Drosophila melanogaster: one gene and its partner. The protein of the gene in region 1 interacts with the protein of each later gene in a biochemical or structural test. Each region holds a gene or a part of one and is shown on either strand. Other genes may lie near its edges. The genes, in order: nudE and sw.

The links.
Region 2: the proteins of nudE (region 1) and sw form a complex in vitro, tested with the Drosophila melanogaster proteins (one study listed by BioGRID).

Annotation. Positions count from the first base shown.
Region 1 is NT_037436.4:9,897,278-9,902,522, forward strand, and holds nudE (nudE), read left to right. Parts: upstream 1-1,963; 5' UTR 1,964-2,078; exon of another isoform or gene 2,079-2,110; intron 2,111-2,448; 5' UTR 2,449-2,727; coding exon 2,728-2,807; intron 2,808-2,875; coding exon 2,876-3,029; intron 3,030-3,145; coding exon 3,146-3,419; intron 3,420-3,483; coding exon 3,484-3,741; coding exon of another isoform or gene 3,742-3,827; exon of another isoform or gene 3,828-3,920; intron 3,921-4,065; coding exon 4,066-4,157; intron 4,158-4,283; coding exon 4,284-4,559; 3' UTR 4,560-4,635; downstream 4,636-5,245. Other genes in the region: CG6707 (uncharacterized protein), read right to left, coding at 652-778; CG46387 (uncharacterized protein), read left to right, coding at 1,454-1,891. UniProt on the Drosophila melanogaster protein: Chaperone protein with functions in nuclear localization. Required for centrosome duplication and formation and function of the mitotic spindle.
Region 2 is NC_004354.4:20,233,113-20,238,010, reverse strand, and holds the start of sw (short wing), read left to right. Parts: upstream 1-1,812; 5' UTR 1,813-1,928; intron 1,929-2,060; exon of another isoform or gene 2,061-2,207; intron 2,208-2,264; 5' UTR 2,265-2,347; coding exon 2,348-2,502; intron 2,503-2,576; coding exon 2,577-2,723; intron 2,724-3,108; coding exon 3,109-3,236; intron 3,237-3,620; coding exon 3,621-3,683; intron 3,684-4,567; coding exon 4,568-4,588; intron 4,589-4,898. UniProt on the Drosophila melanogaster protein: Acts as one of several non-catalytic accessory components of the cytoplasmic dynein 1 complex that are thought to be involved in linking dynein to cargos and to adapter proteins that regulate dynein function.

The DNA of each region.
Region 1 (5,245 bases):
TTGCGATAAGGCAGCGAATGACATGATGACTCATGGACTCATTGACTGCCCCCGCTTAACCACCACTATAGCAACACCTCCGAATCGATGCTGATTAAACAGCTGTGGGGAACGCTTTTTGCGCTGATTACGAGCGTCCTAGCATAAACAATAACAAAGGCGGTGCAAAAATTTTGCCGATACCGGCGTCGAGTAACTAACTACAATCGATCTTTACATTTTTGGCAGCTCTTCACAATTTCGTGATAAAATTACATTTTTTTTATGGTGTACGTGGCCCATTTGATATTTAGGCCAATAAGAAAATTTTATATTAGGTTGTAAATTTTTGGTAATACCAATAATACTGGGCCCTATTAAAAAATAAAAAAATGGCAGATAATTTAAAATGGCATTTGGGCACCACATATCCTATCAGTTTTTCTTTCTGTGCAGTCCCATTGCTCTCCCCCCGCACCAAACCACACGCATTTATGACTCAGTTGGGTGAAGTGTGAAAATGCCAAATGAGACGGCGAGCAGACAACTCGGAATCACGGCGTTGGATCCGGATAAGTGGAGCGCCCGCACACTTGTTGGGCTTCCAATGGGTTGCCCGCCCGGCTGATTGGATGCGGGTTGAATGCCCGGCTTTACAGTAACGATACGCACCGTCCTCGTTTGTGGCCACCGATGAGTTGCTGCCGGGATTATCGGCACCCTCGTCCACGGCGTCCACGGAATTGTAGCCATTGCCGTCGTCCTTGTTGATCAGGCTTTGTCGCTCTGGATCCGCCATTGTGGACTATCTTCCGATAAATGGATATTTATATGTGTGGACTATAATCTCTATATGCTGGAGCAATTCCCGTTAGGCTGCACTTCCAGTTGCCTTTGTTTTGTTGTTGCTGTTGCTGCGGGGGCTGCTGCAACGCGTTGATTTCAACTGGAAAATGAGTGGGAAATCCAATAGTTTAGTTGCTGTGCCACATAATTTCGGACGCAACGAGCTCTTTGTTCACGATTGCCGCAGTAGTTTGGTTTTTTTTTTCTTCGTTCGTCGCGGTTTTCACTCGCGTTGATTGAAACACATCCTCCCTTTTTTCACTTTTCGGCATGCGCCGCAATTAATCAATTCGATGATGCTGCATGTGCAACGCCCACGCGAGCTCGATTGTCGCACTCACACAGTTGACATTTGGTTATAATACTGGCAATTGCGTTAATTGTTTAACAATTGCTGGCCATAATTGTGCTATATTTTACCTTATTTTTGTTGAAAATGCACTGCAGTCGCTGCGATCTGGCCACACTCTGGCTAGCTATCTGGCAACGATGTCCCGTTTGAGATTTTTCAGTTGCGGCCCTGCCAGGGAGTTGCCACATCGTTGTACTTGGTAAAGAACCAGAAACAGATCAGCGAAAAATTGTTCATTTTTGGAACCAAAACAATCCAGCGCGGCTTAAAACAAATATGTCTAAAATCACGAAAAACTCCAATAAAATTGACAATAAGGATTCTGTAAGCGGGGAAGGCTCAAATAGTGGGGACGATAACACGTCCACAAGTTCAAGTGACTTTGAAACAAGCAGAAAACACAAACTACGCCGCAAATCCTGTCGAAATGTATCATATCATTATCATGCGCTGCCCATGCGCGTAGTTGGCGAAAATGTTGCAGCACTGCCACAAACTCCCAGCTCCACTCGTGATTTAACACTAAGCTCAGCTCAAATAATTGAAGATAGTTCCGACTCTGAGTTTCATATTTCGGACGATACCAGCAACGATGCGCCGGCCAACAAATCGATAACGTTCACAGCACGTCCATTAGAGAAATATGATTTGGAATATATAAGAAAACTACGTAAACGCAAAAAAAAGCCGAGTAAAACTTTATATGTTGATTAAATTTCAAATAACAACTGTTGACCAGGGCTGGAAACGGCAAATGCCCATCTATTGGCCAACACTGGCAACCCAAGCCAGGGTTGGCTTGTGCGTTTTTGGAGTAGTGGTAAATTTTTACGAGCATAACTATTTACACTGATTTTATGTAAATAAAACAAACAAAACGTAGCAAAATTAAGTGCAAAGTGTAAGTAGTAAATGTGGACAGTCGTGCTGTATAAAATTCTAGGTATAAACACTGGAATTCTACGAAAAAATCACCGATGATTTCATTTCCATGCAGTGCGTTGTTGTATGGGAAACTTCGTCGTAGCTATTTGTTGTTGTTGTTGTTGCTGCTGCTCATCACCATCATCCTCGTTGTTTTCGTTGTTGTTGCCGCAGCAGCTGCGTCACAAAAATGAGTTTTGTTTAATTTGATTTTATTTACATTTGATATGGACAAAACCGACTGCCCTTTTAGGGCATCGAACAAGAACAACAGCAACAGTAACTACAAAATTCAGGGCAAACACCTGTTCCTAATTGATTTTTCACTTTTCTTCGCCGACTTCTAGTCTATTCACCACCCCCAACACACAAAACAAAAAAAAAGTAAAACTACGACTTGAACAACAACTGTGTTTTGGCATTTTAATCACAGCAATTAAAAACAAAGCAGCCAAAAAACACGAATAAATAACCCAAACAGTAATAGACCAACCGTAGTACATAGCATTGTTCAGAAATTAAAAGTTAAATCAATTCGAACGAACGAAATTACAAACCCATTTTGACCGCCGATTAGTACACAAAAACCAGAAAAAGGAGTTAGCAGCTAAGGAAAATTTGCAGAAATGGAGTCGCCCCCGATGTTCAATAGTGTGGAAGATGAGTGCAGATATTGGAAGGAACGATCTAAGCAGTACCACAAAGAGTAAGTGCCCATCCCTATTACAGTCTCCGAAATCAGCCATATAGCCTAGTTTTACTTTTAATTTTCAGGTGGACAGACGTGAAACAGGAGTACGACGAGTTTGTGGAGCAGTCCCGCGAAATGGAAATAGAAATGGACGCCACTCTGGACCAGAAGCAGAGTATAATCAAAGATCTCACAGCCAAACTCACAATGTTTGAGCGGGAAAACGAGTCTCTCAAGGTAGCTATAAGCTAAGCCCGATTTACACAAACTGAGCTTAATTCTTAGACTCAGTTTGCGTATATGTGGCTTTGAGCTCCCGACAAGATTAGTCTTTACAACTATTTCATTCTCAGCTCAAGTTGGAATCGCATGGCATCGATATGTCAAACATGGAGAAACAGCTGGAAACGGTGAAGAAGGATCGCGACACCATGAAGGTGTACCTGCGGCAGCTGGAGCAGAAAAACGACGATTTGGAACGTGCCCATCGCATACTTAACGAAAGCATAGAGAATTTCGAGAAGATGCTGGATCAGGCCTACGAGAAGAACGCCCTTCTGGAGCTGGAAGTGGATGAAAAGGGATTGCTGCAGGAAAAACTACAGCGATTAATGGATGAGACGAGAGGTGGATGCATCTATACCAGATGTCCAGCACAGACTTTAAAACTAATTCATCAAATCTATTGCAGATCTCAAACAAGAGCTGAACGTCAAGTCACGCTTTACCCCAGTGGTCAATGGAACGAGCGTTCCCACGGCAAACGACACAAATACGGTCAACAGCTCGATGAACTCGTCCGCCTCGCTGCCAAATGGTATTGTTGCCAATGGCGAATTGGTAAAACACGACAATGCTGTCGCCACAAGAGCCACCAGCGTCAGCGTCAACGCCCTCAATGGCAGTTTAGTTAATAGAAACGAATATAACCAGCAGCATTCGCTTAAGAGTAAGATACTAAGTTCCCTAAAGAAAACCAGACGCGCGCTAAAACTGTCCAAGACGAATCGCCAAACGTTCAAGCCATGCATTTAGTATTGTTTTTCCATTTGTTTCTTTTTTACTTGTTAACCAAAAAATGTAGCCCGCTTAAGTTCCTCATAATTTGTAATTGTATTGTAAATTATTAAAATTAAGAGCCCAAATGTGACGAAAGAGTTTGCAACATTTCTTGTAGGCGATTTTTGTACGATTTGTGTTTGCGTCTGTAGCTAGTAGTTGACCTAACTAACCTCTCGACTAACATGCTGTGTACGTGTGCTTCCTCTTGCAGATCCCGAGAATCAAATCAATGGCAATTCCATGAACCCCAGCTCCCGCACAACGGCGCTCAACATTGTGGCCGACATGTTAAGAAAACTAAACGTAAGTCCCTCCGCAAACTATAAGTCCAGCATGCCATCCTACCTCATCCATTGTTTCGTATGTACATATGATCCTTGAACCCTTCACTCCCACCATCGGCTTATGTGTTTTTCCCTATGTTTTTAGTGGGACAAGGCACTGCTATGTCCCGAGTGCGAAAAGTTTCGCTGCATGTGTGAGCGCCCGGCAAGTGTGCAGCCGCCGCCGCCGCCATCGGCCAGCGAGGCAAGTCTTTTTCGCCGCGCCTTTGGCGGCAGCAGCAGCTCAGTGGCCACCAGTAGCGCCCAGTCCACGCCCACCAGCGATTGCAGCTCCGCCGGAAGCCTCAGTGCGGGCTCAAACATTTTTAGGCGCTTCGCCGAGCGCATGCGAAACTCGCCGGACGCCAGCCTGCCGCTCTGACAATGCGCTCGGAACTTTAAGGCTAATTTTAGTTGCCCTCCGCTTGCATTTATTAATTGCATTGGTTAATAAATACAAAATTTATTTGTACCTTATTTTATGTTCTTTGTTTTTGTTCGTTATGATTTATTCAGTTTCGAAAGCGCATAATAACTTGGCTTGCTGACTAAACTCTGCACTGGGCAAACCGTTGCGAAATGAAATTTTCATTAATTTATTTATTATATGATGTGCCCAAATCCTTCTATAGTTAATTTTTCATATAGTTCACTGACTGTTGCTTAATCCGCTCTCGTTTTGTGTTTTTTTTTTAGGCGATGGAGACGAAACTGAAGACGTACCGCGAGAATGGTCAGCCAATGCCGCAGCGACACCGCTCCTCCCAGCAATCCACACATCCGGCGCTGGCCGGACTGCCTTGCTTCTCGCTGGATGCCGAGTAGTGTGGATTCTGCAGTTCAGCGTGATCCACAAACCCCAAATCCGAAACCCAATCACCTAGGGCGGGATACTGTTCAGTTGGCTTTACGTTTACGTTACGTTACTTTAATGTTACTGTTCGCATTAATTAAGTTTCTGCTGCCTCTTTATTTATTTGAACTAAAATGACTTTGTATAAACCACTTGCGATATTATGAATTACACAACAGTTGATGTTGTTGTTTCGAGCCCAACATATATAACAT
Region 2 (4,898 bases), on another chromosome or scaffold:
GGGCTGGGAAACTAGTTTAGGTTGGCGGCGTGTAGTGGCTAATTAACAATACACTTTTACTCTCGCCCGATCCCATGTGGAAACCAGGTGGAGGTGGTTCTTGGAAGCCCGGCCAGACGTCTAAATCTGAAATTCAATTGGCAAATTAATTTGTAAACTAATCGCGCTGGCATCTCGACTTCGGTGCGACAGGTTTGGCCTGGCAATTAGCGCGGGGAAAAAGCGAAGATATTAAGTATCCGCTCATCGGTTTGCCAACTCCCGCCCATGTGCAAGATTTGTCGGCCTGGAGCAAAAAGTTGAGCAGTCGAAGATTTGGCAATTCAAGGTTTTTACTGCAGCATGGGGGATCATCGGAGCGATTCCAGTTCGAGTCCGGTTTATCAATGCGGTTACGAAACGAGCAACTCGGACTACAGTTTTTGGGTCGTCGAATGCTGGCATTTAAATTCAGATGTGCAGATGTGCAGATGCGCCAAATCGAATCGAAATAAAATCCCCAAAAGTTTCATGGGCGCTTTAACCCCATGAAAACCTCTTCCTTGGCACTTTGGATACGGTATCTTTCAGATACTTTCAGATACTTTCGGATACATTCAGATACGACCGAAGGCACGTACTACTGTTGGATTCGCTTTGCGCCCCGCGTTGCAGCAACATCTGGCATTGGTGGCACAAATTATGGCATACATTGTGGAAAGACACATCGCCTAAGTGCGCTTTCTATTTCCACGGCGGGTTCTGGTGATTTCACTGGCCCAAAGACGCGCATTGAATGTAATTGGCACTTTGGAGGGGCAATTAAAACACGACATATCTACATACATATGTACATACGTATGTATGTACATACTTTCAGAACCCTGAACGTATTTTGTAAGCTCAGTAGTTTTGAGTCACTATGGGAATTTCAGCGGTATTGGTAATTTTTTACAAGAATAGTCTTGCTTACCTTTCTTAATTAATTAATTTTTACATTTTGTAGTACTTCACACTCAGCATTTTAATCAAACAAATGCACAGGTTGTGGGCATTAATTTTAGCTGAATTTTAGACCTAAAAGGATTATTTAATTTTGTATGCATATGGGACATCAGTGTATTATCATTAAGGTACTGTGTATCAATTCGAATTTACCTACAGATACCTCTCTTGAATCTATAAATTAAAAGTTACGCTTCAGAAAGCAACACTGATATTTCATAGTGCATGTGTGTGAGTGTGCAAAACTTTTTTATGATAACTGTAAGCCACCTATAACATAACAATTTTAAAATGCGGCATATCTCTGTATTAACATACTTTTTACCTATTATTAATTATGGTAATATAATTATATATTAATCTAATATATTTATAATTAATATTAATAATTAATAATTAATAATTAATAATATATAATATAATATATATATATATATATATATATATATATTCAGTTTGAAGCTCTATTTAAGCATGATTTGTAGATTTCTTCCATAAATAAATATAAATATTAATAAATATAAAGTGTGTTGCAGTGTATGTGAAATGTAACTGTAACTAACAGCGTTCTGCTAAACGCAGTAGTGCTGCCAGATCGCTGCGCTAGTGCATGGAAAGACTGGAACTATCGCTGTCACGACAGCTGTTCACAGCTATCGCCGTACAGTAGTAAAATCTTATTCTTGTGTTTAAACTTGTGTTAATTAAGAATTCGGAATCCCGCTAAGAATCCTAGTCTTCCACACCCTTTGGGCATCTATGTAAACCAGCCGCGCCCATTATCTCCTTCGTGTGCCAATAACTGTGCGAAGTAACTGGCCGTGGGCGATGTTCCATCTCTAGTTAGTCAAAACATTAAAAGTCAGTCGCATTTTTACATTGTTGAAAAATGATGATTTAAGTACTTAAAAAGCAGCCGAACAACGAGTAAAGACAGTCAAGAGGTGGGTTTTTGTGCATTTCATGGAAAAATCACAAGAGCAGTGAGAGAAGGAAGTTGAAAAACGCAGCCAGGGCGAAAAGACGTCACAGTCCAATCGCTGGATTATTGATTTTTTTTTTTTGGCCGAGCAAAGGAAAGTAAAGTGACGGCCACTCACTGGGTTACCGGGAAATGTGCTCCACTTGGCGATAGGAGAACATATGAGTTGGCTGCGCCACGCCAAGCGAGCGGTGGAGAACCACACAGCGCACCCACTTTCTTTGCTTCTGGCCAGCAGTTGGTGACATCATCAAAGCTACCAATATTGGCGACCATTAATCATGCATCCCCCTTGCAGAGAACTTGGCCCGCCAGAGATCTAGAGTCCCGTACCGAACGCCCACTCGAACAGCAAATCGCAGCAGCTAATCGCCCCGAGAAATGGATCGCAAGGCTGAGCTGGAACGCAAGAAGGCCAAGTTGGCCGCCCTGCGCGAGGAGAAGGATCGCCGGCGTCGCGAGAAGGAGATCAAGGACATGGAGGAGGCGGCCGGTCGCATTGGCGGCGGAGCAGGCATCGACAAGGATCAGCGCAAGTGGGTTTGCCATAAGCTTCTCCTCAGAGCTGACTCAGCACCGCCATCATCCAACTTTCGTTCGCCTCTTTCAGGGATCTCGACGAAATGCTGTCATCGCTGGGCGTGGCCCCCGTCTCCGAGGTCCTTTCCTCACTCTCCTCCGTCAACTCGATGACTTCGGACAACTCGAACACACAGACCCCCGACGCCAGCCTCCAAGCCACTGTCAATGGCCAGAGGTAAGCCAGTTCATAGCAAAAGCTTTGTGAGTAGAATTACCATCTTAAGCAGAAGTTCGCAGGGCATATTAGACATATTCAGGTCATATAGGTATAGACATTTGATTCCCTAAGTTTTTTTTGCTAAACAACTGTAGAGACAGATTCCCCATCTACAAGCTTAACATAAAAAAATATCAGTAGTCAAAATTGGAATCCTGGTTAGAGAGCGTGGCAATTTTTACAATTCAATTTTAGCATTAGCCGTTTTAAAAATTAGTATTACACAGATTAGACAATGGGCTTAGTACTGATTAAGTTTTAACGATCAATGTATTGTACTATTGCTATTGCCATTTAACCGATTCCTAACTAATACCAATTTCTTATGTGCACCCCCCACCAGCGGCGGAAAGAAACAGCCCCTCAACCTAAGCGTCTACAATGTGCAGGCTACGAACATTCCACCAAAAGAGACACTGGTCTACACAAAGCAGACCCAGACGACCAGTACCGGAGGCGGAAACGGCGATGGTGCGTATTGCCCCCGGGGCGGGGATCTGGTTGGGCTCTACCGTAACCACTATCCATAGTTTGACTCCATCTCTCGCTACTGTTACCGTTCTTATTCTTGGTCTCGTTGTTAAATGTGTTTGGCTTCCCTGCTGTTTCCCAGACTCCGTCACCGTCCGCCGGAGGAGCAGTGTATCTATCTGTCCCTCTCACTCTCTCTGTCCATGTCTGTGCTCCAAACTCTCCCTTTCTGTCTGGTGCTAGCTTACACCGCTGCATGCTGACCCTGTTTCCGCGCTTTGTTCCCCATCAAGTGCCCCCAACTCCCGTCCCTCCCAGCAGAGAAAAAAAACAAAGATGCAAACAGAAACCATAATCCATAGTGAAATAAAATAACAAATACAGTTCTTTCTTGCCACTCCTCGCCTCTGTCAGGATATATGGAGGACTGGTGGCGTCCACGTAAAGGTACTAATCTTAATTTTAAGCAAACTCCACACCTAATCACACATCAGCACACGAAAGTTATTGTGACAAAACGAAGCGGCATACACATGTGAATACACGAAGAGCTCCATGTGAAGCGCCCACACGACTTAGTCTAAATTTGCTGTAAGGCTCTGCAGGCAGAAGGATGTCAGCATCGTACATGCGTAGACAATTCGGTGGACTATCTACTTAACTGCTTGAATTTAGACAGCTTCCTTTTGCTTTGCCTCGGCCCAATTTGGTTGCAATGCCCAAGAAACGTAGTTTCTGGTCGATTGATCATCTTATGACAGATTTCTCTTGATTTGGTCAATCCGCATTATTGGTTTTTGGTTCCTTCAGTGCTCTCAATTTAGCCCATCTATCCCAGCAATTGTTTTTGTTAGTTTATTTTATAAATGTTCGAAACTGGAAAAGCTCAGACACGATTTCAAAAACCATTCGTCACTATTTTGTATACTATGCAATATTCAGCACACTATCTGAACACTTCAATCCGAACTTTTAAAAATATAGGTTGTAAATGGTACTGCAACGCAATGTGTCATGTTTATCCCCTCTTTAAACACGCCTTTTTATAATTATTACTTTAATTTTTGTCGCGTTTTTGTAAAGGTTATTGGTAGCACTAAGCATTACACCAATTGGCCTTGTTTCGCTTCATTAACGCCGCAGTCTCGACTCATTTCCGCATGGCCACCGCTGTCCAGCATCAATCTTTCCATCCACATCCATCCATGTCCACATCCGAACCCATAGATCATTAGAGTGTAAACCGTTCGAGCGCATTTAATAATTTGTCTATTTACTTTCTCTTTCTTCCCTCTTAACTGTTTTTGGCACGCACGAAAAAAAAACTGCAGCTCATGCTACGGATTATTATGGTGAGTAGTCCTCGTTGTATGCGTAATTCCGTACTTAGAACTTTTCAGCCTCCGTAGCGGTCTGTGTGCCACTCGTAAGAAGCGTATCTATACCCGTAGTCCTATATATTACCATTACCTTGAAACCTCTCTATGCTGAACTTCTCTATATACTCACATTATGTATTTGTGTAGTTTGCTCAATATCTATCCACAACACGATCTATGCTCCTTAGAGTTTTTCTGACTTGCTTAGTGTACGCTTGATATGGTAATCCTATCCTAGAATATATATATGCCCTATGTCCTAGCTTCTCGTAGTTGCTTCTTC